3 linked regions of the Astyanax mexicanus genome follow. The protein of the gene in region 1 purifies or fractionates together with the protein of each later gene. This does not show direct contact. Links are inferred from orthologs where the notes say so. Each region holds a gene or a part of one and is shown on either strand. Other genes may lie near its edges. The genes, in order: gosr1, bet1l and bet1.

Region 1 (10,989 bases):
TTCCACCAGGAGTGGCATAAAGTTATCCAAAAGCAATGTGTAAGACTGGTGGAGGAGAACATGCCAAGATGCATGAAAACTGTGATTAAAAACCACCCAATAATCATTTCTGGATGCTTAAAACTTTATGAATATGAACTTGTTTTCTTTGCATTATTATATTTTTTGTTATTTCAGCCATTTCTCATTATTGGAAATAATAATCATAATTTATGGAATAAAACAACAATGTTAATTTTAATCATACATATTCCTATAAATAGCAAAATAAAGGAAACAAAAAAAATTCAGAGCAGTATTTAAACTTTTGTTGTTTGCTCTGATACCTATAACATGTTAGAAGGTTATTCTGAACCTGCACTATGACTCCTAGAATAGCGGGATAGGTGAAATAACAGCTGGGCTCAGACAGGTTAACATTACGATGCTAACAGACAAAGCACTACAAACAGCTTGTCTTGACAATGTCGATGAACCAACAATTCCTCTAGGGGGTATCCAAAATAATCCCATGCTGCTGCTGATTTTAGATGTTTTTGTTTATTATTGTCTGTTGTTTTCTGCACTGAATGTGTTTGAAGTTGGTGTCAGATGTTGAAACTATTGGGCAGTCAAGGTAGAATGGAGATGTACGTGTGTGGGTAAGAAATTGTATATTTCCACCAATATCGGTAATAAAAAAAGGTCCATGGTATAAGCACCATACATTTTCATATCATAGTATACCATAAGCTCAATAACAACAACAAAAAAATAAAGATTACTAACTTTAGCAAGAAGCTGCTCAATCTCGACTGACATGGTCTCAAACATTCTGTCTTGAGTGGAGTTGTTGAGGAGGGGTGTTGTGTCAGAACTGTTAGAAAGGAAAACAGAGAACAAAACTAAAATAAGAAAAGGGTGTTTCGACAGTCATAAATTAAACATAAATGCAACTGTGTCGCTGCAGCTTCACTTGCTGCTATTCACAGGTACCTGTCTCCTCTCCGACCATCCCGCGAGCTGCTGTAGCTGGTGCACAGTTTACTGAAGGACACCAGCTTCAGGTCGAGCTCATTCTCCAGCTGTCTGGCCTGCTTGCGCAAGTCTTTAACAGGACAAAAAAAAACAAAAAAAAAAACACAAATATTAGAGAAGAGGGTTCATTGGCATAAAGTGTGCCCAATCATGGTCCTGGAAACCTAGCAGCCTAAAGACTTCATTCTGATGCATGGCCTTTACTACCTTGATCAATAGATTAGGTTTCTACAGGAAACGTGCAGATTGTCAGACCTCCAGGACCAGGATTGGGCACCCCTAGATTACATTTAATGCCGGCCTCACACCAAAGTCTTTCTTTCCAGGCAATTTCTTTGAAGCAGACCAATTTAAAATGTCATAAGGAAAACACATGAGAGCTGCAAGAGTTACAGTGTGCATCTATCTTGATAATATTAATAATATTAGCTTTTTGGCAGCTGTCTTAGTTCATTTAACCAGGGTCTTGTCCACATTATGCTATATCTTTTTGACATTCTAATACCAACCAAACAATGGATTTTTTTTTACACTTTTAGAACTGTTAAAGTTTTCTAGTGTATGGTTGGCATTTGATTTGAGAGAAACACACACAAAAAATCATTTAATACGATATCATCTCTCTATATCAATGTCAGTATAGTCAATATAACAATATAGTCACCATTGTTAGTGTACATAATCACAGGCTAATGGGTGATATATTTTTACCCAGAGGTGGAAAAGGTACTGAAAAATTGTAATTAAGTAAAAGTACCTTTACTTTGCTAAAATTCTACTCAAGTAAAAGTACCCATCTAAAAATCTACTCGAGTAAAAGCAAAAAGTACTCAATTTAAAATGTACTTTGAGTAAAAACTTTTAATTATTTGATATACAAAAGTAAAAACAAATAATAAATTAAATTTTGTTTAATGAACTATTATTCCACATAATTATTTGGACCTTTAAGGCAGTATTTATTCAGACCACCCCATAAAACAAGTGGCATAGGTTTCTATGATCCATTTTTTTTTCTTTACTATTAAAAAGTTATGGTAATATAGGTTACTATAAACTGTATTTTTATAGTTTTACAGTTCATTATTATTATATTTTAACTTGCCATTGCTATGCTTTAACTGCTATTTACATGTTTTTTAACATTTAAGCAGATTGTTTAATGATAAAAGTACTTACACCACATGCTTCCGCAGGTTTGATGTGAAAGTTTTGAAAGCTGACAGCTGTCTGGTGGGGCACATTTTGCATTGCATGAGGACGTTATTGCCTCGTTATTCCACGCGCGAGCATCGGTGCCAATTTTTTTTTTTTAATTGAGACAATTGTTTTTTTTTTCCCCCAGCATTTTTTTTACTCAGTAACGGGGAGTTTTCCAATGTAGCAAAGTAAATTACTTGTGTCAAAAATGTACTTGAGTAAAATTTAAATTCCCTATTTTAAAAACTACTTTAAAAATGATAAATTACTCATAAAATCTACTCAATTACAGTAACTTGAGTAAATGTAATTCATTACTTTCCACCTCTGTTTTTACCATATCAATACTTAAAGAAACTTTCAGGACAGACTGTACCATGTTGTAAACAAACAAATATCACAAGTCTTCTAGTGTGCATTGATTTCATATATTGATATTTTATGGTATTGTGATACATTTTCTTATCATATCTTATCAAAATGTCAGGGCAATAAGAAAATACTACTACTTACATCTAATGCCAATCACACACAAGAAGACTTTAAAAAGAAGGCCATGATATCAGTCAGTGGATGACACCATGTTATCAGATGCCTGTCAGTCTGAATGAGAGGTAGATAGCTAGCTAATTAACCTAGATTAGCTAATGAAACATGGGGCAAACAAAGCAGATTTTTTAACTAGCGAGTTGCGTTTACGTTGTAACTAAAGTGCTTTTATCACAGAGCTCAATATTCCTTTATTTTCTGCTTTGTAAGACAGGAACATCTACATATCAACAAGATTATATAATACATTAACCAGCGTTAAATGGACTAGGATACATAGCTCGATAACTAGCTAGCGTTAGGTCTATAGATACAGCGCTGGAAAAAAATTATAGGAAAACACTTAAAATGATGAGTTTTTGATTTTACCAAATTTAAAAGCTCTAAAATATAGTTTTGAGGAAGATGTCAAAAGCGGTGTGTAAGTCTGGTGGAGGAGAACATGTCAGAAGCATAAAACCAGGGTTATTCCTTAAAGCTTTATGAATATGAACTTGTTTTCTTTGCATTTTTTGAAGCTTTGTCTGAAATCTCTGCATCTTTTTGTGATATTTTAGCCATTTCACATTTTCTGTAAATAACGTTAAGTTAAAATAACGTTAAGCTTTAAACGTCAATATTTTTATTGGAATTTGGGAGAAATATTATCCGTAGTTTATAGAATAAAACAACAATGTCAATTTTACTCAAACATACAGTATACCCATAAATAGCAAAATCAGATAAACTGATTCAGAAAATAAAGTGTTCTCTTATTTTTTTCCAGGTCTGTAGTTATATAGCGTCAGCTAAGCTAACTTATCCCAACTCTAACCCACAGCCAGCTGGCTAGCTTGCTAATTAGCTAGCTAACTACATCACTCTTCAGTTGTTAGACGAAGCCATTAGGATAATAAACAGGCTATATCACCAGTCAGGTATTCATAAAAATAGCTGACAAATTATTCTGTAAGGAGTTTGATATTCTAGCTGAACATTATTAACACCGGCTACCCGACTCCGTGCTCGGCTAAATCACTGACGTTACGTTAGCCAGCTTAGCTTAGCTTAGCTTAGCTACCCGCGCTAGCGTTACTTAACGGCGCTCTGGTAAAGTGTGTCCCTGTGTTTCGGTCAGGCCTGGCCGCCTCAGACAGCACCATACAGAGCGGAAAAGTTAGAATAAACGTCTCCCGAGCGCTTAAAACACCACATACAGCCTAAATAACGCCAATCTGCCACCTCACCTTCCCAATAGTTGCTGTTTCCTGCCATCTTTGTTGTTGAACGTCATCCGCGTCGCGCTGGCAGAAGGAAGACTCCGCGGCTCAGCCCTGAAAATCTACCCACAGCGCCGCCCTGCGCCCCGAGCACCCGCTCACACACAGCCCGCTCCCAGCCTCAACAACACAGATCCTACTTTTTTATAATAACGTTACCTGTGATTTAATATAAAATAAATCAATCTACCTTTATTTTCAGTGAGGGGAGCCCTGACTTTTTATGCAGCCTAGCATTTACAACTTGACTTAATAAAAATATCTATTTTTATTGATTTTAATCGGGATAAACTAAAATGAATAATTGCACAAGCTAACAATAAAAGAAATGCTATTAAAAATGTAATTAAAAAAGGGACACGATTTTAAATAAAAACCTAAGGGAATTAAATTAAAGTTAAAATTAAAAGTAGACAAGCTAAAATGTTACTATTTATTAATAAGCTATTATATATATATATAATTATATAATTATAATAGTTAATAAAATATAATATCATAAACTATTTAAAGCAGTCAAAACTATTATAAACACCTAAATATGAAATATAATTAGTAAACAAATAACAATTAAATTAAAGAAAAAGATGGAGAATATAATTAGAAATAAACAAAAACGCCATACAAAAGGTGATCAAAAATAATGAAAAGGGTAGATTAAATAAATACACAAATAAATGAAAACAAGAAATTTAAAGGCAAGAGGTAACTCCACTAAACGAAAAAAAAAAAAAAAACTAAAACAGATATAGGCTGTCTCGTATGGAGGTGATTTTCAATATAGTAATTCCTGTAGTTTCCTGTAGTAAATTCCTGCTCATTGCTGCACTGTAGCTAAGAAGATTTTCCAAGTTCCAAGTAAAAACATGCCACCAGAAAGGTAATCCAGTCAGTAGAGTGTGTCTAATTATTGCTGTTGTTTATAAATAACTGCACATAAAACAATCATAAAGAGCTTCTTAAAACACCTGAATATTGTATTTTCCAACACACTTTCCTGCTGCCGTTTTAAAGAACCTGGCATTTGGCTATTTGCTGGTCGACACCCCACCTGTCACACTTTAACTGGCACATAGTAAAACTGGGGTGACTCTGTGGGCCTTGCCTGCTATAGACCACTGAAGTCGTGTCATTATTTTGTAGTGGGTGCCATGTTGTTTATGCCCATATTTGGGGTTTCGTGTCTAAGAGGTTCAGATCTATGGGAAATTTGAATAGGCTTTTCAAAAACTGGCCGTTGTCACATTCTGTGGTTAATAAATATGTTCAGAACCCTGTACGTTTTAAGTGTCTGAATGGACCATCTGGCACAAAAATATGTCTGAGTGCAGTCAGAGACTTTCTGTAATTGTATTGAACGCATACTTCACAATTTGTTAAAAATCTATCAATTGTTGGTACCATATATGGAGACTACCTCTCTTTTGTTTCAGAAGTTTGATAACTTCTTTTCTATGGACAGGTCCTGGTCCATTAGCATCGCCAATTAGTATGTTTAACAGGTGCATTGCTACAGGTAGGCCATTTGGGCCATATCACAGATTACTTGCTTAGCCCAAAGTCTTAACAAACTGCTAGCTGCCCTGGCTTACCGGACCACTCAGAGTTCCTCAGTGTAGCACTGTCACAGAGTTTAGATTCTCTGCCCAATTTCTTTGATGATGACACAAACACAAACACCTTTTTGTATCATCATAAATAAAAAATATTCACCACAATATTTTTACTCACACTTATTTAGTCTCAGTTACAGATTCAAGTCAGACATTCGAGTCATTTCAGCATCAGATATAAACAGCAGTTTATTCACACTGTGTTCCACCGTCCACCCAAATTGCACTTAAATCATTTTACATACGGTTGGCATCACGTAGCTATCTACAATCAATCCCTTTTGTATAAAAAGGAAAAAATATATATACACATCAGCACAACCAGACCATACAAAAGCTATACACAATTGTTCAGTCTCACACACACACACGCAAGCACACAACCAAGGTTTGCACTCAAGCATGAAAATCAGCAGAAAAGCCATCATATTGAGTTCATGTAGCAATGGAAACAAACAGTGAACAAATGGACCTTTCCCCAAGCCTTTCTACTGTACACTGTGTTTCTTAATGGTGGTGCAGTAACTTCATAACTGAATCAATTAAACAAACAAAAACAAACACTGGAGACAATACAGGATGGTTACCAACAGTTTTACATATTGCATTTCATATGCTCTGGGGATGGACAAAATAATGCGAACACCAAAATAAGAAAATCATAGTCTGAATTTTTGTATAGGACACAGTCTGCATTCTTATGCATGATAACATGAATTACCTGTGGAAATACTAAATCAACATCTTAATACATGAAAACAAAAAAAATGAAAAAATCTTTAAGGCAGAAAATGATTTTGCCTAGATATATTATACATTTAAAGCAGGGGCACTGTATAAAATCTTATATTTTATTACTAATTGAGATGACCAAATGATAACTACATACATTAAAACCTCGCTCAGATGGATTAATAAAATATCAGCTTGATTCTTAATAGAAAGGATGAGTTATGGGGTCTCACTCACCAATACTTTCCTAAGTATTTTCTTTCATTTGTCACAAAAAAATCTAAAGTCCAAAAAGTCTGTCCATCATTACAAACTTAACAAAATCCAAATAACAAAATACTGGTTAATGTCTGTATCCTTATAAAAGCTGCTTTAGAGAGTTTAAGAACAAATTTCTACTTTAGAGCGATTGGTGAAGGTGACCCCTGGTCCACACATATTCATGAATTTTTTCAATCAGACGTTTTCCTCTGTTTTTTAAAATATCTCCCTCCATACAGAGACTTTAAGGGCTGAAGGTACATCATTGGGAGAGACATTAGCAGAAAGAAAACACAGAGGTTTAATCCTACAATACATACTACTCCTCAAGTAGTGTATTATGCAAGTCACAAAACTATAGATTCTAAATTTAGAAGATTTAGAGGTTCGGCCAGAAATAGAAACAAGCTCGTTTTTTTCCTGTCTACACAACTAAACTGAAAACAGAAAAAAATAAATAAATACAATTTCCAGCTTTATGGGTGTTTCTAAAAAAAAAAAAAAAAAAAAAAAAAAAAAAGCAGTTTTTAGTGACTGAAACGCTAGGATATAGAAAAGGACATGCAGATTTGAGTGGAAAGGGTCTTTAAACTGACCAAACTCCTAATAAGGATCAGATTTTTTTTGATAATTTAAATATGCAAACTGACTGACTGATTTTCAATATGCAGTTTACATTAGGGCTGCACAATATATTGTTTAAGCATAGACATCACAATGAACAATAATTGCAAAATGTAAAATCATGTGCAGCAAACTTAACTGAACATTAAACATTATTGCTGCTTTAAACAGCAAGTGAAATGATCTAATTTTAAAGCCATAAATCTCATGTTCTTTTCTAATAAGACTTTGTCTGGCTAAGCATTCTAAATGTTAATTGATTATGTGATTATTTTGTTTATTTTAGGAATAAATCTCTTAAATCAGTCTAATTTAGAGTTTATCTTATTTTAAGTCATTTGAACTCAAAATAAGCGCAAAGAAAATACGTAATATATTTAATAAAATCTAATATGACTAATCTACCAGAGGCAGATTATATCTCCATAATACAGTACAGTGTTTCCCCATAAAGGGGTCAGCCTTTATGGGGAATGCTACACAGCATTCTGAATGTAGATTTACCATTGAAAGGAAAATTTAGTCTATTTAAGTACTTAAATAGTATTAAAGTGGCTAAATTAATGAATGAATAATTAATATTGCAAAAACACATCCTTCTGCAAAATATTTCCAATATCGTGCAGCCCTAGTTTACATCAGTAAAAATGTGGGAAACATGACAAATTCATAAAGAAATCAACAAACAAATCAAATATGTTATTGCCTTTTCCAGAGATTCTCTACCAGAGCTATCTACTTATTCAGTTCATAATTAGAATCCAGTGAAATCCCTATAAAATCACATTTTCCACTCAGTACTTCTGATCAACTGTGACTGGAGGATTCTCTGAGAAACAACAAACATAGTTAACAGCTTTTAAAACAGTGTGTGGCCAACATCAACTCTATCTGTGTACAAATCTCCAACATTTAATACCCCAGTATATTTAAGTAGATTAGATATGCACAAACAAGCCTGCTGAAAGAGTGCAAAGAAAATATATCAAATAAAATAAAAAAAAATTAAAGAAACAACTTTATACATTCTTGGCAAGCTGAATACCACTCACTCTGAAGTGACTGAAGGCTTCCATACAATCCTGTGTATTCTTAGCAAATGTGAGTTAAAGTGAGGCTTTGAGTGAAAGCTAGGCAACAAACTGACCCGGTGTGTATGTGTATAATAGGGGTGTAACAGTACGTGGGTAAAAGTTAATTGTAGGCAGTCACAAAAAGAATGTATGGTATGATAATGTAGCATAGATAAATATATGCTGTTTGGGTAAAAACAGTGATTTCACAAGTGTGTGTATTACCCAGAAAATAAGTAAATTTATATGGTATAATGGAAACTGCATCAGTATTAGACCAATATTCTATGGAATGCGGCACTAGATTGAAGTAAAACGTTTTTTTTTTTGTGTATATATTTTGCAAGGTTTAAGCAGTGATGCACACCAACCCGTGACTAATGTGTACTGTTACCCCGTTACAATGTTACAGTGCTCAAGAACTGCACTCTTTAAAAAAAAAAAAAAAAAAAAAACTAAATGCTACTAACGGTTCTTTGAACGATACTAAAAAGAAAACAACTTTTGTTTGGAATAGAGATACAAAGTGATTGTAAAGAACCTTTTAAATGGAACCTTTATTAAGAAAAGATTTTTCATATTTTTAAATCATTTCTATGACAAATATGGTATTATTGAACCAAAAATGGTTCTTTCAGAGATAAGGTTTGGCTGGCTTTGCTTAAAAAAAAATGTGATTGAATAAAGGGAAAAAATAATGGCAGACTTCACAGACATATGGAGGCTTTGCTGCATCAAGCATGACTGCAACCAGTTATTTCCGCTGGGAGGACATAATTTGGAGCCATGATTTGGTGAAAATTGGCAAGCATTAACTCAAAATTTCCTTAATAATTTTAAAAGAACTTATTCATTTCTAAATTGATTGGCTGAATGCATTATTCACACTAGTTACAGAGACAAGGGCCTGAGGTCCCCATCTGCTGCACTGTTAACTCTGTTAATTCCCCACTGTATTTAATTTATATTCTAATCAGTGTAAAATTAAACATGGAAAAGAGCCTCAGAACCACATAATGTTCATCTCCTGTTACATACAATGCATATTTGCACATAAACTGTGACCCTTGTGTGAAAGTAATAGGTCAAAGAATTGAAAATAATAGGTCAATTAATAGCTTAGCCAGCATGCTAACTGAATAAGTGACTGTTATACTACGATTGTTCAAAAAACGTTTGTAGCACCCTGTTTTTTTTTTGTTTTGTTTTTTTTAAGAGTGTGAGCACAGAAAGGCAATGCATGATCTGATTTAGAGTTGAGGTGGTTTGGATCTTGCCCTCATGTTTCCACCTGACTTACCCAAGTCCTCATAAACAGAGAGAAAAAAACGTGATGCATAAGCAGCACTCGTTCTCAGAGAAATGTCTTTATTTCCACAACCTCTCGCCTGTTTCCTGTAACTCCAGGGGTTATTGTATGGGACAGTGTGTGAATAAAGAGAAAGGCTTCTTATGTAACGACCCAAATGTAAAAAGTATGGCAGAGAGGAGAGTCTGAATTACACTACCTACACCCGTCTTCACACCTCACGACAAGCCAACAGGCAACAATGGCTCAAACTAATCAGACAAGGCACTGTGTTCAGTAATCCTGTTGAGTTTCTGTTCACTTGGGCAGTTCAGTTAGTGCTGTACTGGTTCTGTACGGACTGGACACCTGCTGGAAGAGCTGCTGAGAGGTTACTCACACACTAACAAGCAGAAAGATAACACTATCCAAACTCAAATAAATATAGGGCTGGCTGTGGGCAGATAGTACAGTGAATCTGTACAGCGATTATTTGCATACATCAAGGTGTGAAACAGATGACTAATTTGGACCAATCGTGGCAGTAAAGTGCATCCTGTGATTGATTTCTGTGTTTTGATGGGCCTTTGAATCGAGCGCCCCCTGCTGGGTTCCTCCAGGAGCAGGCCTGTGAGCTCTGGACTGCAGAATAAGAAAAAAAAAACTGAGCCACCAGGTTCCACTCGGCCCTCTCCGTCACTCTGTCTCCTGGAGGGCGGCGCTGTGGGGTGGAGGCAGAGTAGGTGACTGTAATAGGTGTAAGTGTGCTGTGGGGTAAAGGGGGTTCATCAGAGTTTGTTGGCATACAGAGTGTCCTCATCACTTTCACTCTCGTCCTGGAATTCATGGCTCAGGAGAGACTTCTTGGAGCCCATGGAGGTGAGGCGGATCTCGTCGTCGTAATCGTCTCGGTGCTGCCGCAGCCGGTGGAAGCCGTCCTTCTGTCTGTTGGACTTGGCCGAGCACACGCACCAGATGATGCAGGCAGTGATGGTGAGGGCAGTCATGGCTGCGGCTGCAGAAGGAAACAGAGCAAAGAGGGACATCAGACTTACTGAAACACTAACCGTTGTTTGGTAAGAGGTTAGTTGTTTGGAGGTAGATAAGTAGTTGGTTAGTGATTTACTTGCTGATGGTTAGTTGTTGTAGATTGTTAGTGGGTTGATTAATTGCTAGTTGGATGTTTTATTGTTGGTTATGAAGGTTAGTGGTTTGTTGTTTGTTTTAGTACCATATTTTTCGCACTATAAGGTGCCCTTAAAATCCTTTAATTTTCCCAAAAGTCCTCAGTGCGCCTTATATATTTTTATATATATATATTTTTTTTAATATATTTTTTTTTATTATTTAGGTGTCCTAAAATGTCAAATGTC
Region 2 (10,471 bases), on another chromosome or scaffold:
TAGCTATAAAAATCTAGTTAGCTTCAGCTAAGCAAGCTTGCCAACTAGAAAGACAGCCTTGGCTAGCTAGCTAGTTGCTGACAAACAGCAATCAGGCGCCAGTCTCAGCAAAGCAAGCAGTCAGCTAGTTAGCTAGCTAGCTTACCTAGCTGGAGGTAAATTAGATGGATCAAAATAATAAAAACAAAAGAAAATTATATTTCAAAGGCCAACCTCATTGACTGACACATTAAACAGCTGCCTATAAAGACGTGCTTCTGACAGGTATACTTAGCATTATCAATATGAGAACAACTAGCATTAGCTAGCTAATGAGGATGCTAGCGTTAGTTATTTTAGCGAGGTTAGCTGGGTTAGCAGATCCGCTATGTTAGCTGTAGAGGTGGGTAAGCCACCTCCAGAAACTAAAATCCATCCCCGGGTTTTGTGCCAACTGTCTGGGCGGCTCTGTGTACAGCTGAGCTGCAGTAGAGCCGCCCAGGCGGTTGGTAAAAAACCCTGGGATGGATTTTTATTATCTGAAGCTGACCTACCCACCTCCAGTTAGCTGTGGATGCTGGGCTCACCTGCTGCTCCTCCGTGGTCGCCTCCTCCTCCTCCATGGCCTGTTGTGTCTCCGCTTCGTTAGACATTAGGGTTGCTGTAATGTAAACAGCGGTCTGTCCTTTCTTCCCCACGGCAGCGCTAAACTGCTCGTTTGTCTCCAGAAGCTCTGCTACAAAGCTGCTGTCCGGCTAGCGGTGGCTGCTGGAAATGAACTTGGTCCACATGGATCCTCCGCTGTCTGCAGTACCGCCCTCTACCGACCCGGGGCCGGGGTTACCACCAGCTCCACACTGCTAAACTCCACCCGCCAGAGGTGAAACCAGACCAACATTTCAGTTACAACATCATAAAATAAAACAATAGAACATACTTACATGTTTACGATGATTCCCTTTTTGCACTAGCTAGCTAGCTAATGTTTAACACATCTCCCAAGACATTCCTTTCTCTACTAGGGCTGCAACTAATGAATATTTTTTCGATTTTTCGATTAGTCGAAATGATAGAAACTGATGAACATAAGATTTATAGGCATTTAAATGTCTAGCTGTTGGTTAAACATGGAGAGTACTGATATTTAGTGATTAAATATGTAACTAATCTGTTGGGTTTGGGCACTTTTGAAGACACAGAATAAATTGAGTGTAACCTAAGTGAGTGATCCATTTACCCATGTTTCATTGTGCTTTTGTCCCCAGCACTTTGTGTAATGCAGTACTGTTACAAATGAACGATTAGTCAACAAAGAAATTTGTAGTTGACAAATTTAAATAATCAACATTATCGATTATTTTGACTAATCGTTGCAGCCCCATCTCTACTGATGCCAGCATGCTGCTTTTCCAGTTTCTGTTACTCATCAAATGCCAGCCATGGGATACACATTCAAATTCTGACACCATGTCCCATTTAGAGAAATTAAACTGGTAAACAATGAAACACAATGAGCTGCACAGAACATTATTTACAATGTTCAGGACACAATTTGCATGAACCAAAAATAAAAACTGTTGTTATTTTATGTTATTTTATGATAACATAAAACACAGTTGGTTTTATTAGAAGGTCAAGATAAAAAAAAAAGTTTCGGGAGTCTACCGCATATCAACAACGGCTCCCTGATGCCCGCAAGTCAGATAAAATCTTTCGGAATCTAGAACAAGTGGCCCAAGGCGCGCACGCAGGCGACACAGACTTTTTTCCTAATCGTGTGTGTGAGTGAAAGGTGCTATCCTCGTGTGCATATTTATAATGCACATGTAAAACAGAAAGGGCGGGCAATGTGAGGGCGGGCAATGTTTTTTCCCCTCCTGTAAGTGATGTGTTCAGTGAGAAAGAGAAGGAGCATCATGGCTCATTTCACCTCATGTCACCTCTGACTACTCTAAAGTATATCCATTAGATGAGTTACGTCCAGGTTAAATGTACACAGTGTTGTGTGGAGCTGGTAAAATGGACAGTGGTTTTAAAAACATGTCCAATCAGTTTGTATAGATATATAACAAAAATGACATAGACAGCATACAATTAACTACAAACTAATGTAATCTACTAATGAGACTAGAGCTAGAAAGCAGAAGGAGCCTGGACCATATAATAATAATTCTCGTTCCTGTCAGCATGCCCATTTTCTAGTCTGTAACAAATTATTCACTTCAATCAAGATAAAAAAAATTATAAAAGAAAACAAAAATGTTTAAAAAACAAACTTTATTAGTTATTTTTCTTATATACTATATCTACTCTCAGTATTAAACATAACTCTTAGCTACATACTCAACAATTTGATTTAAAGTTCAGCCATATAAGATCAAAGCATTCACACTCAAATCAAGCATGTATGTATGCACACAAAAGAGAAAACATTTAGAAGAACAGAAATTGGTCCATGGTATACTCATTATGTTTTCAAGCATAACAAGTGTCTTTAAAAAACAATTTATTTTGTAATAAGATTGGAATGCATGAAAGAAATATTTTTATAGTTATAAAGTCTTTTGGAAAACAACAGACAGATCTTAAAGAAATTATTTTCAGTTCACTTCACCCTTTAAATATACCAGGTTTAGAACCAGCAAGCCCATTAGTAAAACTGTTTTTGTGTAAACATGAAGAATAGAGTACTGCATTCACACATGTTTGTTTCTCATAAAACTGAGAAGATAATATATAAATATTTTTCAGTTCTGTATTCTCCTGACTAGATAATAAAGCAAAAAGAATGTCAACACCAAGCCTATGGATACATAACATAAAATCTTTCGGTTGTCTCTGCTGGAGCGGACCATTGTGGAAAACCTCTTCACGCTCCCTGTCAACAGTCCAGTTGCACTGAGGAAGTTTGAGTCCTAAAGGAAGATGATACAAAAAATTACCATATTTACAGACCTCATGTTTCCATTACATGAAACTATACTGTAAAAGATTGGCTATTCAGACCTAAGAAACACTTTTCTAAACATACATTTGATCTTGAACATAATATATCTAGTCTTAGGATATATTACAGCAGTGTTTTTTAGATAAATTCTAAATTGAGTCAGAGAAAACACACACCATGCCATCCAAGTATGAATTCTGTTCGTCAGCCTCTTTGTCAATTTCAAATGCCAGCTGTGAATGACAAAACAGATAAATAAAAACAAAGTACATTTATAAATTTAGCCCAATCATGAACACATTGTTAATTATTTAGACAGACTGTCTTCATTGACTGATATAAGTGATTATAACATACCGACTTCAATCTAGATACTTTGGTTGCCAGATTGTCAGCCATGCGTTTGTTTTCTTCATCCAGCATGTCATCTACAGCCCCATGTCCTAGGAAGACAGTGGTAAAAGATGCACATACATTTTATAGTTAAACACAAAAGTAAATAATACTTTTTTTTAATTAACCATAAAATTATTGGATTACCTTTTTTGTGCAGGTAACATGTGATTCTATCAAGGTGACAATAATTCTAAGAGACTAAAAATGTTCCCTCAATTTAGTGAATTGTTCTCTTGATTTAATAATATTTTTGTTCACTGTAATAAAGATTCCCCCTATTTAATAAAGCATTCACTCTAAATAAAAAATCCATTCACTCAATTTAATAAATTGTTTCCTCAGTTTAATTAAAGTGCTTCCTCTTAAAGGGACCCCAAACCATATTTTTTTCATTAATAGCTGAAATTAATAGCTAAAATGAAAACAAACCTTCTACATATATATATATATATATATATTTTTTTATAAACATTTCCTAACCTTTAAAAAACTCTTTTATTGCCATCATTTCTGCCTCTGCAGCACCCTCTCAGGTTCGACTGTTATAGGTGAGGATGATGTGTCGGTGTACTTTGGTTCACAGACACTCACAATCTGCAAATCAGTCAATCAATAATACTGCCCCCTACTGAGGTCCAACATCTACATCTCACCGCTATTAGAGGCACACTGCTCAGCCCAATCAGCTCCTCCTTCTGCCCACCCCATCACCCAGTGCCCCTCCCATTTTGGCAAACAGCTGATGCTTTTGTCTCAAAAGTATCTGAGACACATATACAATGTGTTATTTTAGTGTTTCCTTTATGTATTTATTTATTCTTTGAAAAATGTAATATTTAGAGACTTACAACAATCCATTAATTTAATAGAATGTTATTTTGATTTAATAAAGCATTTCCTTAATAAAAAAAAAACATTCACTCAATATATTAAACTGTTTCCTCAATTTAACAAAAGGACTCCTTCTTAACTGAACAAATAGTTAATTTTATAGAAGGAACAGATGGTTAAAATGAGAAAACGATTTCTAACATTTAGGGAACAGTTTATGTCTATATTTTATTTAGGTGTTTTGGAGGACCAGAAATGTCAAAATAAAAAATAAATGAATTAACTAATTAGCTAGTGTTTGTTTACTCCTTACTTCTTTTTTGTTTCTTCATTTCCTTTTTATTAATTAATTAATTAATTATATTGGCAGTTCTGGTCCTCCATATTTGAGAAGCAGATTATATTATATGCTCTATTTTTCACCCAATTTAAACAACATAACGCTTGACAGTGAAATTACTAATTATAATTTATAAGAGCCTCGTGTGAATGTTTGTACAGTGGATTTGAGTGAATCTGGAATCTTGACAACAGGATCCTCTGATATGTTAACACAGCTAAAGCTAGCTAACCCAACCAGTGTAAATGCGCAGATGAGCTAATACACCGTGTAAATGGCATTTCATTATGATCGAAGAACATTAGAGGTAAAGAACTGATACTTTAGTGTCAGAAGTAGAATAAATACGGTGAATTTCAGTTTGATGTAAACTGATAAACTGAGGAGATCCAGTTAGCCCTCTCTAACTTTAAAAACTGCTGTATAAGAGGAGCGACGTGTCACTCACCCCTGTTCCAGTGATCAGCCATCTTTACAGACGATCCTTCACTATGAGAGTCCCGCTGTTAAATCACAGTGACGGAGAAGAAACCTGAATAAAATCAGTCTTAAAAGACACTCAGATACCAATAGTCACTCGTATGAGACCGTTTCGTCACAATCCACAACACGGCAGGAGTCTGTGTGAGATCAGAGCCGGGTTATAGAGAGTTCACACTATACCTGTCTCTCCTGTTATATCAGAGAATTACCGCTGGCCGCCAGAGGGAGCCCGCGAGGGAGTCCTTAATGAATGTGGTGAGTGGAGCTAAACGGCTAAAAACTTAAATTAAAATAGTGTCTAACTATGTACCCAGGATATTACCATAATTATAGAAAGAGAAATAGAGTATTTTGCTACAAAAAAGGCTAAGAAATGTTTGAATGGTTTTCTTTTTTTTTGGACAACAAACTCGCTAGCATTACTGCTACTGTGGTCTGACTGGTTGGTGAGCTTTTGATGGAGATTCAACAAAGGCGTCTTTAAAAGGTTTGTAACTGCAGTTTGAAAGCGTTTAAAATCATGTGTGCGGTGCTGAAACATGTGATATTGTTGTGAGAAATTAGTGTTTGTTGAAAATTAAAAATATAAAACTTTTATAAAATCAGCTTTCGGCCGGGAGCGCCCCCTAAAAAGCCCGGAAATGATTCTCGACTGGGTATTCTCCTCTCTATCAGAGGCTCTTCTGCTGGCCAGGCGTTTTGAGCACAGACATTTATACATAGATGCCACATAGAGCATAGACATGTATATATAGACGCTACATAGCCTGCCGCCATATTGGAGGAGTCAACTATGAACCCATGAATGCATTTATTAGTATTGTGTGTGTGTGTGTGTATGTGTATGTGTAAGCATGTATATATGCGTATGTATGTACATATAAATATAAAATTAATTCATGTATACACTTATTAATATGTCATACCATATGTCTGTCTTTGTTAAAGAGCATAATATAAAGTATTTCAGCTTGAAATCACATATTCGTAATGTGTGGCAGTGTCCTGAATCATTACTACATCTCTGCTGTTTGTAACAAACCAAACCGTGTGAAAATCGGGTATAAATTGGTAGATTTGTGATTATTATAGGTGTATTAAACACCTTTCACTAATAAATGCACTGGGGGCGCATGATTGACTCTTCCAATATGGCGGCCACGCTGACACGCCAGTTTCATCTATGTATTACTATCTATGGTTGTTATATCCTGAGCGAGGAGGCGCGGGGGGTTGTGGGATATGTTGGTCCTCTGGTTGGGGGATGAGATGTGGAGCTGCGGCGGCGCTCCGCTCAGAGACACTGCTGCTGCTGCTGATCATCATCACAGATGCGTTGCATAAGATGCTCAGCTAGATAACGCGAGCATCCTCCGTAAAGAACCCGCCAGACAGCTCTCTCGCGCGCATGAGGATGATCTTAACTTCATTTATTTCCTGGAATTATTCTGTATTTTGTTGCGAATTTCGCGGGTTAAGTATTTCAGCGTTATTAACTCGAGCTTACATAGGAATTGTTTATCTATGATGGGGGTTTATGGCGAATGGCGGCTGGATGACCATCCATTCAAATAAGCGAGCTAACCTGGCTATCTGACCTCTCTTAGGTATCGATAGCTAAACAGAGAGCACTAGATAAGGCAACTTGGCGATTTTGTATGTTAGCAAGCTAAACCTAGCTGCCAGTGTTTATGTGATTAAATAAAAACTGTATTTTGTTGTTGTTGTAGTTAATATCACACTGCGCACGTAGCAAGTGAGTCCTGTCGAGTGCTGTGTTTAGACTGGTGATAATCTGCTGTTTTAATTAGTAATGCCTCAGTTGTAATACAGCGTAGATTTAACGATTTTTATTTATCTGATTTTTATGGTAAAACAATGGTAAGATTTATTACCGACGAAAATAAAAAAGGCTTCTGTAAACGTGGATAGATTAAATCCAGTGAAATCTGATACACCTGGATGTGAGTGGGTCACGTTCATGCTGTTAAACTAAAGCTGGAGATAATAATATTAATCTCTCTTTGGTGCTGTAATTCCATATCTCTACTCTTGAGTGGATAGCTGGATTAAAAAAAAACTGGGATATAATCTGTCAGTAATTGAACCATAGTATTTTGAGTGATAGCCTAGCTATGTTTTGTAGTGGTCTTTACTCAAACCTGTTGTTTCACTGGTATTGTTGAGCACAGTGAAATTAAACTACTGTTTCAAGAACAGCATTTCCCATGAATAACAGAATAACTAATTTAATTTGTAACTTTGTCATTTAATAACGTAACTTAGTCTTTTCTCAAATAGAAATAGATTGATTTCATAAAACAACCTTTAAAGTAGACACTATTATGATAAACTAATAAAAAAAAACTGAATAGTAGTTTATTTAGTGTTTTATTGTATAGTTTTTAAGAGCAAACCTCTAAAACTCAGCAATGTTGGCCCGGAAAGGCCTCCTGCCTGATGGATTTCTGCTGACAAGACTGGCTGAAGATGCCACACAGCCCAACCGTTTCCGGACCAAATCGCAGCGAGCTCGCTTCATCACCAAGAGCGGATCCTGCAATGTTGCTCATAAGAACATACGAGAACAGGTAGAGCACTTGGATCACGCAGTCATTACTTTATAAAATTGTTTTTGCTATGCATTCACATCATTCTATAACCTGTTAAACTGATTCTTGATAAAGTGAAAAATGTCTGTATTTCACTATTTTATAAAGCTCTTCTTTGATAAAGATGCATCAGTATGAATTATTCGCATACTTTTATTTCTCCTTTCAGGGTCGGTTCCTCCAGGATGTTTTCACCACAATGGTCGACCTCAAGTGGCAGCATTCGCTGCTCATCTTCACCTCAGCATTTCTCTGTTCCTGGATGCTCTTTGCCATGGTGTGGTGGCTCCTGGCATTTGCCCACGGTGACCTGGAGCCACGTGACCCCCATGATCGTGGGCATGTTCCATGTGTCACTGCCATTCACTCTTTTACCTCAGCATTCCTCTTCTCGATCGAAGTCCAGGTGAGCAAATGGCTGCATAGACTGAAACTTTGGTGGACAGTCTTGTACTATTTAGATGTCTACACTCATAGCAAAAGGGTTCTATATAGAGTTGAAAAGGCACATATAACAACCCTAACAATACTAGGGATGCACCAAATGTTCAGAACCCTATATTATTTGGCCAAAAAAGAGCACTTTTGGTATTCTGCTAAATAAGTGAAAAGATTGAATAATTTGTACTGAACAATATTGTTTGTGTGTCCTCTAGAATGCTAAACATGTTCAGAGTTTAGTGTGTTCAGTCAAAATTTTTTATTTTTTTTTTAAACCCAGACAAAAATGTGTTACCTATTTAATTTTACTCACTGATGAAAAAAGTGGCAAAATTAATGATAACCAATGAAAAAAATGTGTTGGCTTTCTGAGCAACCCTAAACAATCTTGTATTTTTTATTTTTAATGTTAGGTGACCATCGGTTTCGGTGGGAGGATGGTGACTGAGGAGTGCCCACTGGCCATTACCGTTCTGATCATCCAGAACATTCTGGGACTCATCATCAATGCAGTTATGCTGGGCTGTGTGTTCATGAAGACAGCTCAGGCTAATCGACGAGCAGAGACACTCATCTTCTCTCGCAATGCTGTCATCGCACCACGCAATGGCAGGCCCACGTTCATGTTCCGTGTTGGAGACTTGAGGAAGAGCATGATAATTTCTGCTACCATTCAGCTGCAGGTGAGGAAGAGCTGAGCTGTTTATTATAGTCTATTGCAGGTAAAGGTGCTCTAGTTCCACGAGGTGGATGTTGGTTGATCGTGTTCTGTCACTCTGTGCTCAGGTCATTCGGAGGACAGTAACAGCAGAAGGGGAGGTGATTCCAGTCTGCCAGCTGGACATCCAGGTGGAAAACCCCCTCAGGAGCAATGGCATCTTCCTGGTCTCACCACTGATCATTAGTCACACTATTGAGAGAGGAAGCCCACTTTATGAGGTCTCTGCCCAGTCACTGCCCAATGAGGACCTAGAAATCATTGTAATTCTGGAAGGTAGGTTGTTTTCTGGCCTGTGTGATGTCATGCATGCCATTGCATTTAATATAAGGGAAATTCATGTGACGTAATGAAATCACTACTTTGTTGTGCTATAAAAACTTAAATTCTTAAATTGATATTAAAAAATAATAAAAATGAAAAATATGCTTAGTAAATTAAAATTACATATTAATGCACAACAATTATCATTAGAGTTTACAGTGGCCACTGTCTTCTATTTACAAAGATGAGAGAGGTCTGTAATTTTCATCATAGTTACACTTGAGAAAAAAGAGAAAAAAATACCATTGTAGGACTTTTGTAAATTATGGTGGAAAATAAGTATTTGGTCAGTAACAAACAAGCGAGATTTCTGTCTCTCACAGACCTGTAACATCCTCCACTTCTTACCTGTATTATTTGCACCTGTTTGACCTCGTTATCTGTAGAAAAGAAACCTCTCCATCGCCTCAAACAATCAGACTTCAGCTCCACCATGGCAAAGACTAAAGAACTGTAGACATACAGGATCATTAATTATCTCCCTCCATCTGGGGACCCACGCAAGATCTCATCCCATAGGGTCAAAATGATCATGAAAACGGTGAGCAGAAATCCCAGAAATACACAGAGGAACCTAAAGAATGACCTGCAGAGTTGGGACCAAAGTAACAAAGGCAAACAAAATATGGATGATCCAGAAGAAAACTCAACTGGTCATGTTTAGAGAAAGAAGAATACTGAGTTGCATTCCAAAAACATAAGGGTGGAAACAGCATGCTTTGGGCTGTTTTTCTGCAAAGGGGCAGGACGACTGATCTGTGTTAAGGGAAGAATTTATGGGGACAAATATTGTGAGATTCTAAGCCAAAACCCTACTTTAATCAGTGAGAGCATTGAAGATTGAATGTGTCTAGGTGTTCAGCATGACAGTGATCCCAAACACACTGCTCGGCAATGAAGGAGTGGCTCAGTAAAAAAGCATTTCAAGGTCCTGGAGTGGTCTAGCCAGTCTGCAGACCTCAACCCTATAGAATATTTGTGGAGGGACAGCACCAAATCATCACTGCTGTAGAGGGGATTTGCATGGAGGAATAGGCCAAAATACCAGCTACAGTATGTGCAAGCCTGTTGAAGACTTACAGGAAACGTTTGACCTCGGTTCTACATTGTGATTTACTGAATTTTTTTCTTGTTTTGTCTCTCATAGCTGAAGTGTACCTATGATGAAAACTACACACTCATCTTTCCAAGTTAGAGAACTTGCACAACCGGTGGCTGACTAAATACATTTTGCCCCACTATTTTTATCCTTAAATAGGCCAGACGGGTCCAGGCTGTCATTTTTAGCATTTTAGAATAATCAAGAACAACCTGTTTTTCTTGTTGTTACTGATTGATAAGTCTTAGGATGCAATAACTGCACTTTTTTATAGCCAAGAACATCGAGTTTTGAGACAGGC
Region 3 (10,337 bases), on another chromosome or scaffold:
TAATCCTTTTACTGGCATTGTGGATGCCTCCAAGGGGCAGCAAGGAAATATGGACAGTTCTTGTTAAAACACATATTAAATTTGCTTTGATTTTTAATAAAAAAAAAAAAACAGATTTATCATGTTGCCTTAACAAAAGGTATTTCTCTACTTGATAAGCTTGTAAATATACTGATTATTGTAGTTTTCTTGTACTATCTGTAACTGAATGTATGATCTCACTTATTTTACAAGAAAAGGAAAATAATTAATAAACAACCATACACAAACAGCAGACAATTCTCTTGTCATTTTTTCTTCCCAAGCAGAAGTTGAACAGAACCACATGATATATACCTAGAAGAGATTGAGTAATGCATCATAATGCTGGGCCTTCATAAAGTTATGTCAAGATAAAATGTAATATGTGCTTTTTGGAATAAAACACATATTAAATCAGGCAGGTCAAACTCCAAGTACAAGCTAAGAGAGTCTGTAAATACCTGTGTAAACCTACACTGTGGATCTCAGCTGATTGGTGCACTTGAGAGAGGGATATCCAGTTAGTACTGTTAAGTCTTTACAAAAAAAACTATACAGAACATTTTGGCTTCAGATGATTTTTAATGCCTGCCATTTTATTTATTTACAAGTTTCGTTAGAAATACAACATAAAATATGCATTCTTATTATAGAGATGAAATTAACACAAAACGCAAACCCAAATTACTCTTAGCAGTCGACAGTATTCAGTTAACGCAACAAAACAGACAATACTTGTGGCAGCGCATTTCTCTGCTTTGTCTGACCTGCGTCAGCAAGGCTTTTATCTGCTCACTCAGGTACATTAACATCCTTGTTTTGGGCCAGTTTATAATGATTATGCATTAAGTGATGTACAAAACAGCAGATACTGAACCATCACTCTTAACAGCTTGCAATGGCCCACACTGGTATTACATCATTGTCTTTGTATCTCTGGATAAATACTGACATCAAAAGCAATTAATCCTCTAAAATCACTAATGTGGCAGGAGGACATTGTGGCATGTTAAGAGGTTTCTGCCCACAGTACTGCACAATATCTGATAAAGATTTCCCAATAGGACAGATTTTAGTGGTACTCAATCTTCTTTATCCTTATCTTTACTGGTGATTCTGATCGTCTGATCCAATGGGCCATGGCACATGAGGGAGAGTATGTGTGAGATTCTTTAGTCCTTACATCACCTCAGTTTGATCACCCAGTAAAGGATTACGAAGACAAAGAGAGCAAACAGCAGCATGTAGCAGTAGATTTTGGTTTGGCTTCCTCTGGAAAGCAGCTTCAGTCTGCCCATGGTGGCTCCCAGCAAACCGCCAGTGGAGTCAAAATCTGTGTCCTACAAAGTTTTGAATAGAAACAGAATTTAAAGTTTAGACTTGTTGTGTGTTCAAGAAGGAAAAATACCAAACTGTGCTGGACAAGAATACTGGTTTAGGCAATCAGTGATGATCACCAGTGAGATAAGCACAACAAAGGCTTAACATAGTCTTAACAAATAACCTTAACAGTAACCCTAAATTAAGCAAAAAAGCCTGCATTAAAAAAAAACCCAAACAACCATGTGACAGGTTCCATTTGCATAATGTGTCACAATACAACATCCAACACAGGTCACATGACAAAAATGCAAACTTACCATCTCTCCCAACATTTTATTCTGGTGTTTGACTTCATTTCCAATGTCAATTGATAGCTGAAAGAAAACAAGAACAAACAAATGCATTAAATGTCAACCTCACCCCAAATTTACATTTAGATTAATTCAGTGTAAATATGTGAACAAATCCTCTTATTTATGAAGCAAAAAATATAATTTTTTTGCATACCTAGAAGATAATCATGTTAATTATCTTAAAGGCAAAAGATCAATCAATACATCAAAATGACCTATTACATCATTATGCACCAGCATGCACTGAACATACCATTAGATTAGAATATTCTACATTCACACGTGTTGCAGCCTGGACCATGTTTTATGCACCCAATTAGAACAAATGTTCTAAATTTAACAGGAAGGAGTGGAAAAAAGAGAAATAAGTGCAAAAAACATTAAGAAATAAATATTTTATCCTATTCAAAAAAAAAACAGTAGAACGATTATTAATGGGTTGTATACAAAATGATATGGACCCTAAATTGGTTAAAAGTAAAATACTTACATGCTTCAGTGCATTTACTTTTGCTCTAAGACCTTCCTGTAAATGTTCGTTCTCCTCCTCATAAACACTGTACCCACTTGCGACATAGTTTCCTTGTGGGGCTCCCTCACCTGTGAAACATTAACAGGTAACAGAAATGAGTTACATGTTGCAGTTACATTTGTACTTTTCTAAATAATAAACAAGTATACTTCCTCAAAAAGAATCTAACTTGTTATAATTTTCTCTTTTAGATTTATTTCTGCTGACTTATTTTTTGCACGTTAGTTTGTGATGTGTTGGTGACGGCACCTTAAAAATAGCCTGTCACTTCTGAACTTTGACTACAAGCATGTAATCAAAGATCAATCGTATAAAAATTATTATATTAATTTTATTAATAATATTTTTGATCTTTTTTTTTTTTTTTACTCTGAATCTAATAAAACATATTCAACTATTCAAAACATATACTGATCAAACTCAGGAAGCTTTACTTAGTTTTTTTACAAGGTTTCTAATCCAAAGATGGTTACAAAAATCATGTGGCATTTAAAAAGCAGGTTTAAAAGCAAGTCCACAAATTCCTTTGATTTTCTCTTAAGAAAGTCTTTATTTTAAAAAACCTTTTTAAAAAACTGCATGTTCAAATAACTGATATTCCAGACAGAAATCACACCTGTTAACAACACTCATTCCTGTTAATGGAACTCATTTGTAGTATCAATTTGTAGATATAGATATTTAATTTAATGCTTTGTCATATTGCCAAGAATATCGTTATCACAAAAAATACAATGACATATTGTGATATGATTTGAGGGCCAAGCCTAGCTAAAAGCAAGCTAGCTTCACAGACTAAGTTGACAGACTCTCCAAAGAGGAACCCAAGAGGTTCCTCTGCAAAAGAAATATGGTGTTCCTGGTACATAATTTTATATCTAGCTTCTTAAGTCATTGAGGTATGAACCGTTTCACTTTGGATTACTTAACCTAGGTGTGAAAGTGAAAGTACAGAGTGAAGAATAAGCAGTAGGATAGTCTGACTGATTCAGTGTGCAGTCTACACCCTGGTTAGTTATAACGGTACTTGTATATTTATCTGGCTAGCTATCACAACAACTCTGTGGTCTTCTGCAGAACAGCGATAAAACATTATATTAGCTTAGATTTAGGTTATATAATTAGCTACATAACAAATGAACAAGAGTTTGGTAGCTAGCTATTAGCAAAACATCTGTTCGTGGCCTTGTTATCTAAGTTAGCTAATTAACTAGCTAGGTTAGCTTGTTGGCCAGGTAGAAAGTTCCACGTAGGAAGTTCCAGCTAGCTAGCGTTAGAAAGCTTAGCTAACGCAGATTGTGTATAAACTAGCTATAGCTACCTAACAAAACCCGCAGTAAATATAAACAGGTTCTATTCTGACAGTGTTTAGACTGTGTGCTCTACATTAGCCTCTGACAGGCAGGCGGCACCGGCTGGAGCCGTCTAACCCAGTTAGCTTAGCTTAGCTTAGCTTAGCTTAGCTAACCTATCCAACTGTGATTCATATAACTGCATAGAGTGACTCACCCAGCCCTGCTCGCCTCATTTTACAGTCTGCACCTAAACTCAGCCCCTCTCTCCCTCAGTCCCCCGCCGCTCAGGGTTCAGTATAAATATAAGTTAATGCTGAATTAGCTCCAGAGTCAGTCACAGATCTGTAGTTACATTAGCCAGCGCTGCAACTTTAGCCTACGTCCTCTCGACACGACATCCTTCGGGAGCCGCGACGCTTACAGCGATAGAGGCTTTTGGGTAATGTAGTTCTTTGTGTGTTTCAGCGTGGATTACACACATATCAAACGTGTCAAAAATAAGTAAAGACTTTATTACTCAGGTAGAAATATAGACACTAGGGTTTAAAATAGTTATTTAAAAGTTGAAGTATCAACTCAAGTTTTTAACCCAAATAAAAGTGTAAAAGTAATGGTTCTAAAACTACTAACAGTATGAAAGCAAAAGTAATGTAAGTGGGAAAAATGTCATTAAGGACAAAAGCTTAAGCTCTCTCCAAAACACATTTTTCTTAAAGGCATACTGACAGAAAAAAGTCTGTTTTGCCTGTGTGTACTTTTGCGTTCACTCTTGGGCCACTCGTTCCATATTCCGGGAGATTTTATCTGACTTGCGGGCATCTGGTTTTATTGAATTCATGTCTAATATGTATTTTCTGAATTTCTCTGATATAACAGCTCAATTCTTATTCTTCAGGTTAAAGGGCTTCCTCCTTTAAACAGCTATAACATGTATTTGTATCAGGCTACAAACAGGGCTGCTTTATAAATTCATGCAATGCAACTATGTCTTAAAAGCATTTGACACTGTTTTACTCTTATTCAGTGTGGGCATACCTTTTCCTAATATTACTTTTATATTTTTTACACTTACTTTTTAAGTAAAATCTGTTATTTCACTTGTTTTAGTGCTTTTTAAAACATGTTGATCCACAGCATAAAGGCTATAAAACTCGAACTATGCAGCCTTTCAACACACCTTTAACCTAAATATCTAAAATAAAATGATGTAGCCTAAAATATACACTTGCTTCTCATCCAACACTTCTCAGTCTTGACCGTTTGCTATTTTATCAGCCATTCCTCATCATTCTCATGTAATAGAGCTAATCACCTCAAAGTCCCTGTGAAATCCTAACTTTTCTAACGTTACCTCAATCACCTCAAAGTCCCTGTGAAATCCTAACTTTACTAACGTTGCTACCTGTTTATGTGCTACAGTCTGTCTCTCGGATTTTGAAATTTAAGTCTCAAAAGTAGGACGTCTGGTCACCCTAGCTTAGCTCTATATGTAATGTGTAGAGGCCATAGAGCACCATCATTACAGAGAACAATGTTCCACTGCTCCACTGCTTAATTAGTGAGACCTATACTGTTGATTGTTGGTGTGCATTTGCACATCTTTGTCATTAATGGATGCAACTTAAAGCAGCTAAATGTGTTTTTTTATAAGTGGTCAACATTTGAACACATAGTGTAGGTAGTTAGAAATAGAGATTTAAATGGTAAAAGTTTAACATTTAGTGTGCAGTGTAGGAAATAGGGAAGAACATGGTATGAAGTTAAGCTGGCATGTACAACACTGTGCAAATAAGCAAACAGTAGTGGATAGCTAATAAATGATTTATATTTATAAACGCAGCATGTCTGGTGTATTGTCCTATGCTGTGTATACATATTTACAAACTCATATTTCAAATGCCACTGGGCAGGATCTAATATCATGTCTTTTGTCATATTACATGGATAAAGACTGCTGCACTGACCTGCGGGATATGTGTGTGGTTCCTCCTGCATTGAATGTGGATGTGATTTTTTTTTTGCATGGACAGTTCTAGCCAGTCACAGACGATAATAATTATAGTAGTATATGATATACAATACATTCACACTGAAATGAACCCATTAAATATCTTTTGATCCCTGGAAACAGCTCAAAAAAGCAATGCGTTCACCACTAACAGGGTTATAAACAGCTTGGAGGGATCCTGTGAAATTCTTTGCAAGAGTGATTCAGAATGATGACCACTGTAATAGAAGAGGGCGTAGATTTATAGGATATCACAGAGACATGCTTAAGTGGTTATATTAATGCTAGCTCACTTCAGGTTCAGGTTCTGTAACCTGGTTTAAAACTTGACAGTGGCTAATTCCTTTGACTCATGTAATATGGAGAGGCAGTGTGTGCTTTAATATGACAGCATGTAGCCCGAAGGTGAAGCGTAAATGAGCTCTCTAAAGCCATTAACGGGAATGTGATTGGAAAGCTCTGAACCACTGTGGTCAGTAATTTGCTGCTGCACCACAGACTGTGTTTTTGAATCATCACTGCACCCATGCAGTATATCATATCATATCCTACATGTTGCATTTTGTGGGTACACCATATTCCAATATAATTGCATTTAATATACCATCACAAATCATAATATCTGGGACTTCCATTTGTTAAGGCTTATCTATTCCTGCATTCCAGGCTCACAACACATTCCAAGCAAAATGTTGTGGGATTTTATGGCTGGAGCTTTGGATTAATTATTATAATTATTATAATTTTGCATAGACCTCCACACCATAAAAACATGTACTTTGCAAAACCAATGCAAAGTAAAAAACCAATGCAAAACCACTGCAGTCTTGTGTTGCCTATAAATAATGTTTGGAGAATTTTGCAATGAAAAATGTGATGACCCCACACTGTTGCACATCCCATATTGTCACAACCTTTTTGGAATTTTGTTTTAAGACAGAAATAAAGGAATGGATGTACTGTATATTGGAAAATATTGAGAAATTAATTTATACAGTATATATTGGGTATATATTAGGTTGTATATTTTACATGTTACTGAGATGTATCCCACATCCATGTGCATTGCATTTTGCATTATCTAGTTTTGCTTTTTATTCTAGCCCATGCTGTCATTTCTTATTTCCTGTTGTATTGTGTAAGATGTGTAATATCTGTCTCATTTGTGCAATGCCCCTTTATACAGTCTCAATACCCCCTCCTACAATCACAATTTCAATACCTGCCCCTCTCCCCTGCTTTATGAAGATTATGCTGGTGTGCAATAAAAAAATAATAAAATGCAATAATATGCAATTCATGCCGTTCAGTAAATTCACATAGCAAGTTACTTTAGTAGTGCATTAGGCCTAGCTCCACTGGCATATCACCACTGTCTAAATTAAGCAATATAGCTCTAAGATATTACATTTACACAAGAAGGCAAAACATCCCATATTTGGTTTATATTGGTCTATACGTTTTTAATAATTTATGAGGGGAATTCATATATAATATCAGCACAGGTAGAAACAATGTGCTTTATTTACACTGATATATAAAAAATAATAATAAAATACACTTTATTTCTAAATATTTTCTGGACACACTCACAGATGACACACACAAACATACAGCTTGCCTATTCCCAGTAAAGAATTGTTGCCAGTAGAATAGGACTCTTTAAAGCAGATTAACATGAAGCTACTGACACCAAAGGGAAAAAAGACGTCCATCTTTGAGCTGTGGAGCAGTGGAACTGTGTTCTCTAGATTTATGGAGCTCCAACCAATACATTTGGAATGAGTTGGGGCATTTGTGATGAGGCAGGGTGGTGATTATTCAACATCCTAACCTCACTACAATTTTCCTTTGTTCTCAAAAAGTTCCTATGTTCTATTCTGTTTTGTTTCATTGTTTTGTTTTGTTTAATAAATACATTTGCGTCCACATTTTTGCTAGGTTACCTGTATGTGGTGGCGTAATACACTGAGAGCTTTGGCTACAGTGCATTACCGGCTGATAACAGCACTCATAGAATGCTTCTCACATTGCAGGGTCAGAACTAACTGTGGTATAATATACAGTAAACATTCTATACAAAGACAAAGGGCATAAAGACAAAGTGACAGTTCATATTGGGCTGTTAGAGCACAAAGGGTTATCAATGACAGGATTGTGGATTTGGTCCCCAGATTGGTACTCTTTTACCAAGCAGCAATAGTTTACTAGTGTGTATGTGTGTGTTCACTGCATTCCATCTGTACCCATAACAGGTATTGTTAATAGTCTTGTCATGTCTTGTTTAATAATGGATGTGAGAAAGTTGAACAGAACAGGTCTGTCCTGTTAATGACTCAATGCACAGTAATGTTCTGGAACAGTGAAGATGTGCTGCACAGTGTTATCACTGCTTGTGCAAATGATGTAATGTTTCTTGCAACATCAGAGCTAAACGTGTCTGAAATGTCAAGAAAATGTCATACAAAAGTACAGCCAAAGTATTTCTCAAATGACTAATGAGAAAAATAAAAATACAGATATAGTCATGTGCACAACTGGAGCATCCCTGATTGAAGTTGATAAATATTCCCAATAGAGAATATATTTTGGCACATTGTTATACATACATAATACATACATAATTATTGTTAATTTGCTTAAAAAAATTGAATGTTGAACAAAATATGGATATATAAATGTTATGGTAAACTTATGTTTAATTATACCACAGTTAGTTCTGTCCCTGCAATGTGATTGGCTGAGAGGAGTTTAATGAGTAACATTATCAGCCAGTAATGCACTGTAACCAAAGCTCTCCATGTATTACTCCGCGCATACATAACCTAGCAACATTGAAGCACTTACAGCACAGCTGCAAGCAGAGCAGCAATTAACTATTTTACCTCGCAGAGTCTTTACAACCAAACAGATCATATTTTCTCGTTCTTTTGAACTCAAAATCTTTTAATAAACAGTGATAATGAAACTGTGGTACAATCACAATAATACACTAGAGGTTTATGCTATACCGTGTAATATTGGCACAGTGCCATTTTTACACGTTATAGCATGAACCTCAAGTGTATTATTGCTTATATATGTACTTAAAGCACTAAAAGCTAATGTTAGCTAATGTTTAGCATGTTGTGAAGTTTGAATGTGTGTGTGGGTGGGTTTGAAATCTGCGGAAAGCGACAGCATGTTTAGTGTTTGACTTCTAGTCAGTTCCTCAGGAACAAGGCCAGGGAGTCTGCAGAGCAGTGTGTGAGTCGAGGCACAGCAGGTCGTCTGTCATCAGCATTCATCATCATGCTCACAAATCCATTCCATTTCAGTGCAAACTGTGGGTTAACGGCCTCGCTGTGATCAGTCTATTTTTCTCCCATGTGCTCAGGAGACACCATGATCTGCTGGAGATTTACATTTCAATCTTTGTAGAACATTAGCTGATGACATTGGGCAGTCCATAGATAAGTGGTCAATGACAGGTTTTGTTGTTTTGGCTCAATAGTGCTTTGGAATTGGAATGGAACATGCAGAGCGCAGTAAATCAGCTTTAATTCAAGCGTATTTATATGTAGATTGGCTGAACCATATGGCAACCTGGGCATGCAGGTGTTCAGAGTGCTGAAGGAGCTCACAGTCCCATTTCGGGGGACCATAAGTAATTGAACAATTATCAAGCAATCTTAAATAAAAATTGTCATGTTTGCAATCATGTTTGCCTGATTTGCAATCCTTTCAACCCCATGACTCCCTGAAGTCTGCAGCACATAGGCATCATCAAATGTTGGGAATCTTTCCTGGGGATGTTTTTGTTACATCCATTTCCTCTTTGGTCTTTAGGCTTTAAATTATGTATCAAATAAAATATGTCCAGAACGGTAACATACACTATGTGTCTGTATTTTGTGGACACCCCTTATATGTAAAATGTAAAATGTATAGCAGCTAATAGACAATGGTGCCATATACAACGCTACCATTATAAAGCCAATTAAACAATATTTTTTCCCCACCTCCAGGAGATGGCTTCTACATAGTAAGTATAAGGTGTAAGGTGTTATCTTGTGAGTGAGGTTCAACACTGGACAGGATGCTAATGACAAGGCAATGTGAATTGAATTAAGTTCGAAAAAAGGCCTAATCAGCGTCACATTTGTACCAGGAAATAAATCATAGAAGGCAATACCACCTACAGTTGACAGTGCAGTGGGCTGTAAAGATCATGGTTGGCGGCCCCACATGCATATTCTGCAGGTCTGTGCAGTGTTTTTTTTTTTTAGGTTTCCTGGGACATGGCAAAAGTCATGGGACATAAAACCTGTGTTCCTGGGTGTGATTATCACACAGCTGTTCTTTTACAATTGATTGCAAATTGCTTTATCACACCATCAAGCGGATCCAGATATGAGTCACGATCAGCGAACACACTTTGCTTTGATACATCCCATGTCTCGCATTGCCTTTCTATCTCTCGCTGACTCACTTCTGTGCATGCTTATGAGACAAGGGCTTACTGAGTTACCCCTGCAAGTTCTCAAATCATCCTTAAAGATTCCTTTCAGATTAGTCAGATCACATCAGTCTTATAAATCCCCTTTCAAATACAGGGCTTCTGAGAGTGTCAGAGAGGAAGACAGAATTAATCTTCAGGCAATCTCATGCTCTGTGTAAGATGAGTCTGACAGTGACTTGGGTAATGGCGTGGGACCCGAGCAGTAATGGCATGACCTTAATCATAATGAAACAAAGGATTCTTAGTATTAGTTGAGTCAGAGAGTGACTTGTTAACTTTTCATAATTAAACAAACAACAGCAAT

The links.
Region 2: the proteins of gosr1 (region 1) and bet1l purify together in Homo sapiens (affinity purification with western blotting; 3 studies listed by BioGRID and IntAct, with this or other methods). This does not show direct contact. The link is inferred for Astyanax mexicanus from reciprocal best matches to the Homo sapiens genes GOSR1 and BET1L.
Region 3: the proteins of gosr1 (region 1) and bet1 purify together in Homo sapiens (affinity purification with mass spectrometry; 3 studies listed by BioGRID and IntAct, with this or other methods). This does not show direct contact. The link is inferred for Astyanax mexicanus from reciprocal best matches to the Homo sapiens genes GOSR1 and BET1.

The regions. Positions count from the first base shown.
Region 1 is NC_064425.1:15,912,247-15,923,235, forward strand, and holds the start of gosr1 (Golgi SNAP receptor complex member 1), read right to left. Parts: upstream 4,153-10,989; 5' UTR 4,021-4,152; coding exon 3,993-4,020; intron 1,088-3,992; coding exon 976-1,087; intron 857-975; coding exon 769-856; intron 1-768. Other genes in the region: cpda (carboxypeptidase D), read right to left, coding at 10,405-10,631. UniProt on the Homo sapiens protein: Involved in transport from the ER to the Golgi apparatus as well as in intra-Golgi transport. It belongs to a super-family of proteins called t-SNAREs or soluble NSF (N-ethylmaleimide-sensitive factor) attachment protein receptor.
Region 2 is NC_064409.1:47,836,194-47,846,664, forward strand, and holds bet1l (BET1-like protein), read right to left. Parts: upstream 5,168-10,471; 5' UTR 4,964-5,167; coding exon 4,942-4,963; intron 3,370-4,941; coding exon 3,284-3,369; intron 3,160-3,283; coding exon 3,103-3,159; intron 2,895-3,102; coding exon 2,727-2,894; 3' UTR 2,262-2,726; downstream 1-2,261. Other genes in the region: arpp19b (cAMP-regulated phosphoprotein 19b), read right to left, coding at 567-632; kcnj11l (potassium inwardly rectifying channel subfamily J member 11, like), read left to right, coding at 7,409-7,567, 7,758-7,994, 8,443-8,712, 8,816-9,023. UniProt on the Homo sapiens protein: Vesicle SNARE required for targeting and fusion of retrograde transport vesicles with the Golgi complex. Required for the integrity of the Golgi complex.
Region 3 is NC_064410.1:48,640,618-48,650,954, forward strand, and holds bet1 (BET1 homolog), read right to left. Parts: upstream 3,947-10,337; 5' UTR 3,758-3,946; coding exon 3,739-3,757; intron 2,298-3,738; coding exon 2,188-2,297; intron 1,719-2,187; coding exon 1,662-1,718; intron 1,362-1,661; coding exon 1,206-1,361; 3' UTR 584-1,205; downstream 1-583. UniProt on the Homo sapiens protein: Required for vesicular transport from the ER to the Golgi complex. Functions as a SNARE involved in the docking process of ER-derived vesicles with the cis-Golgi membrane.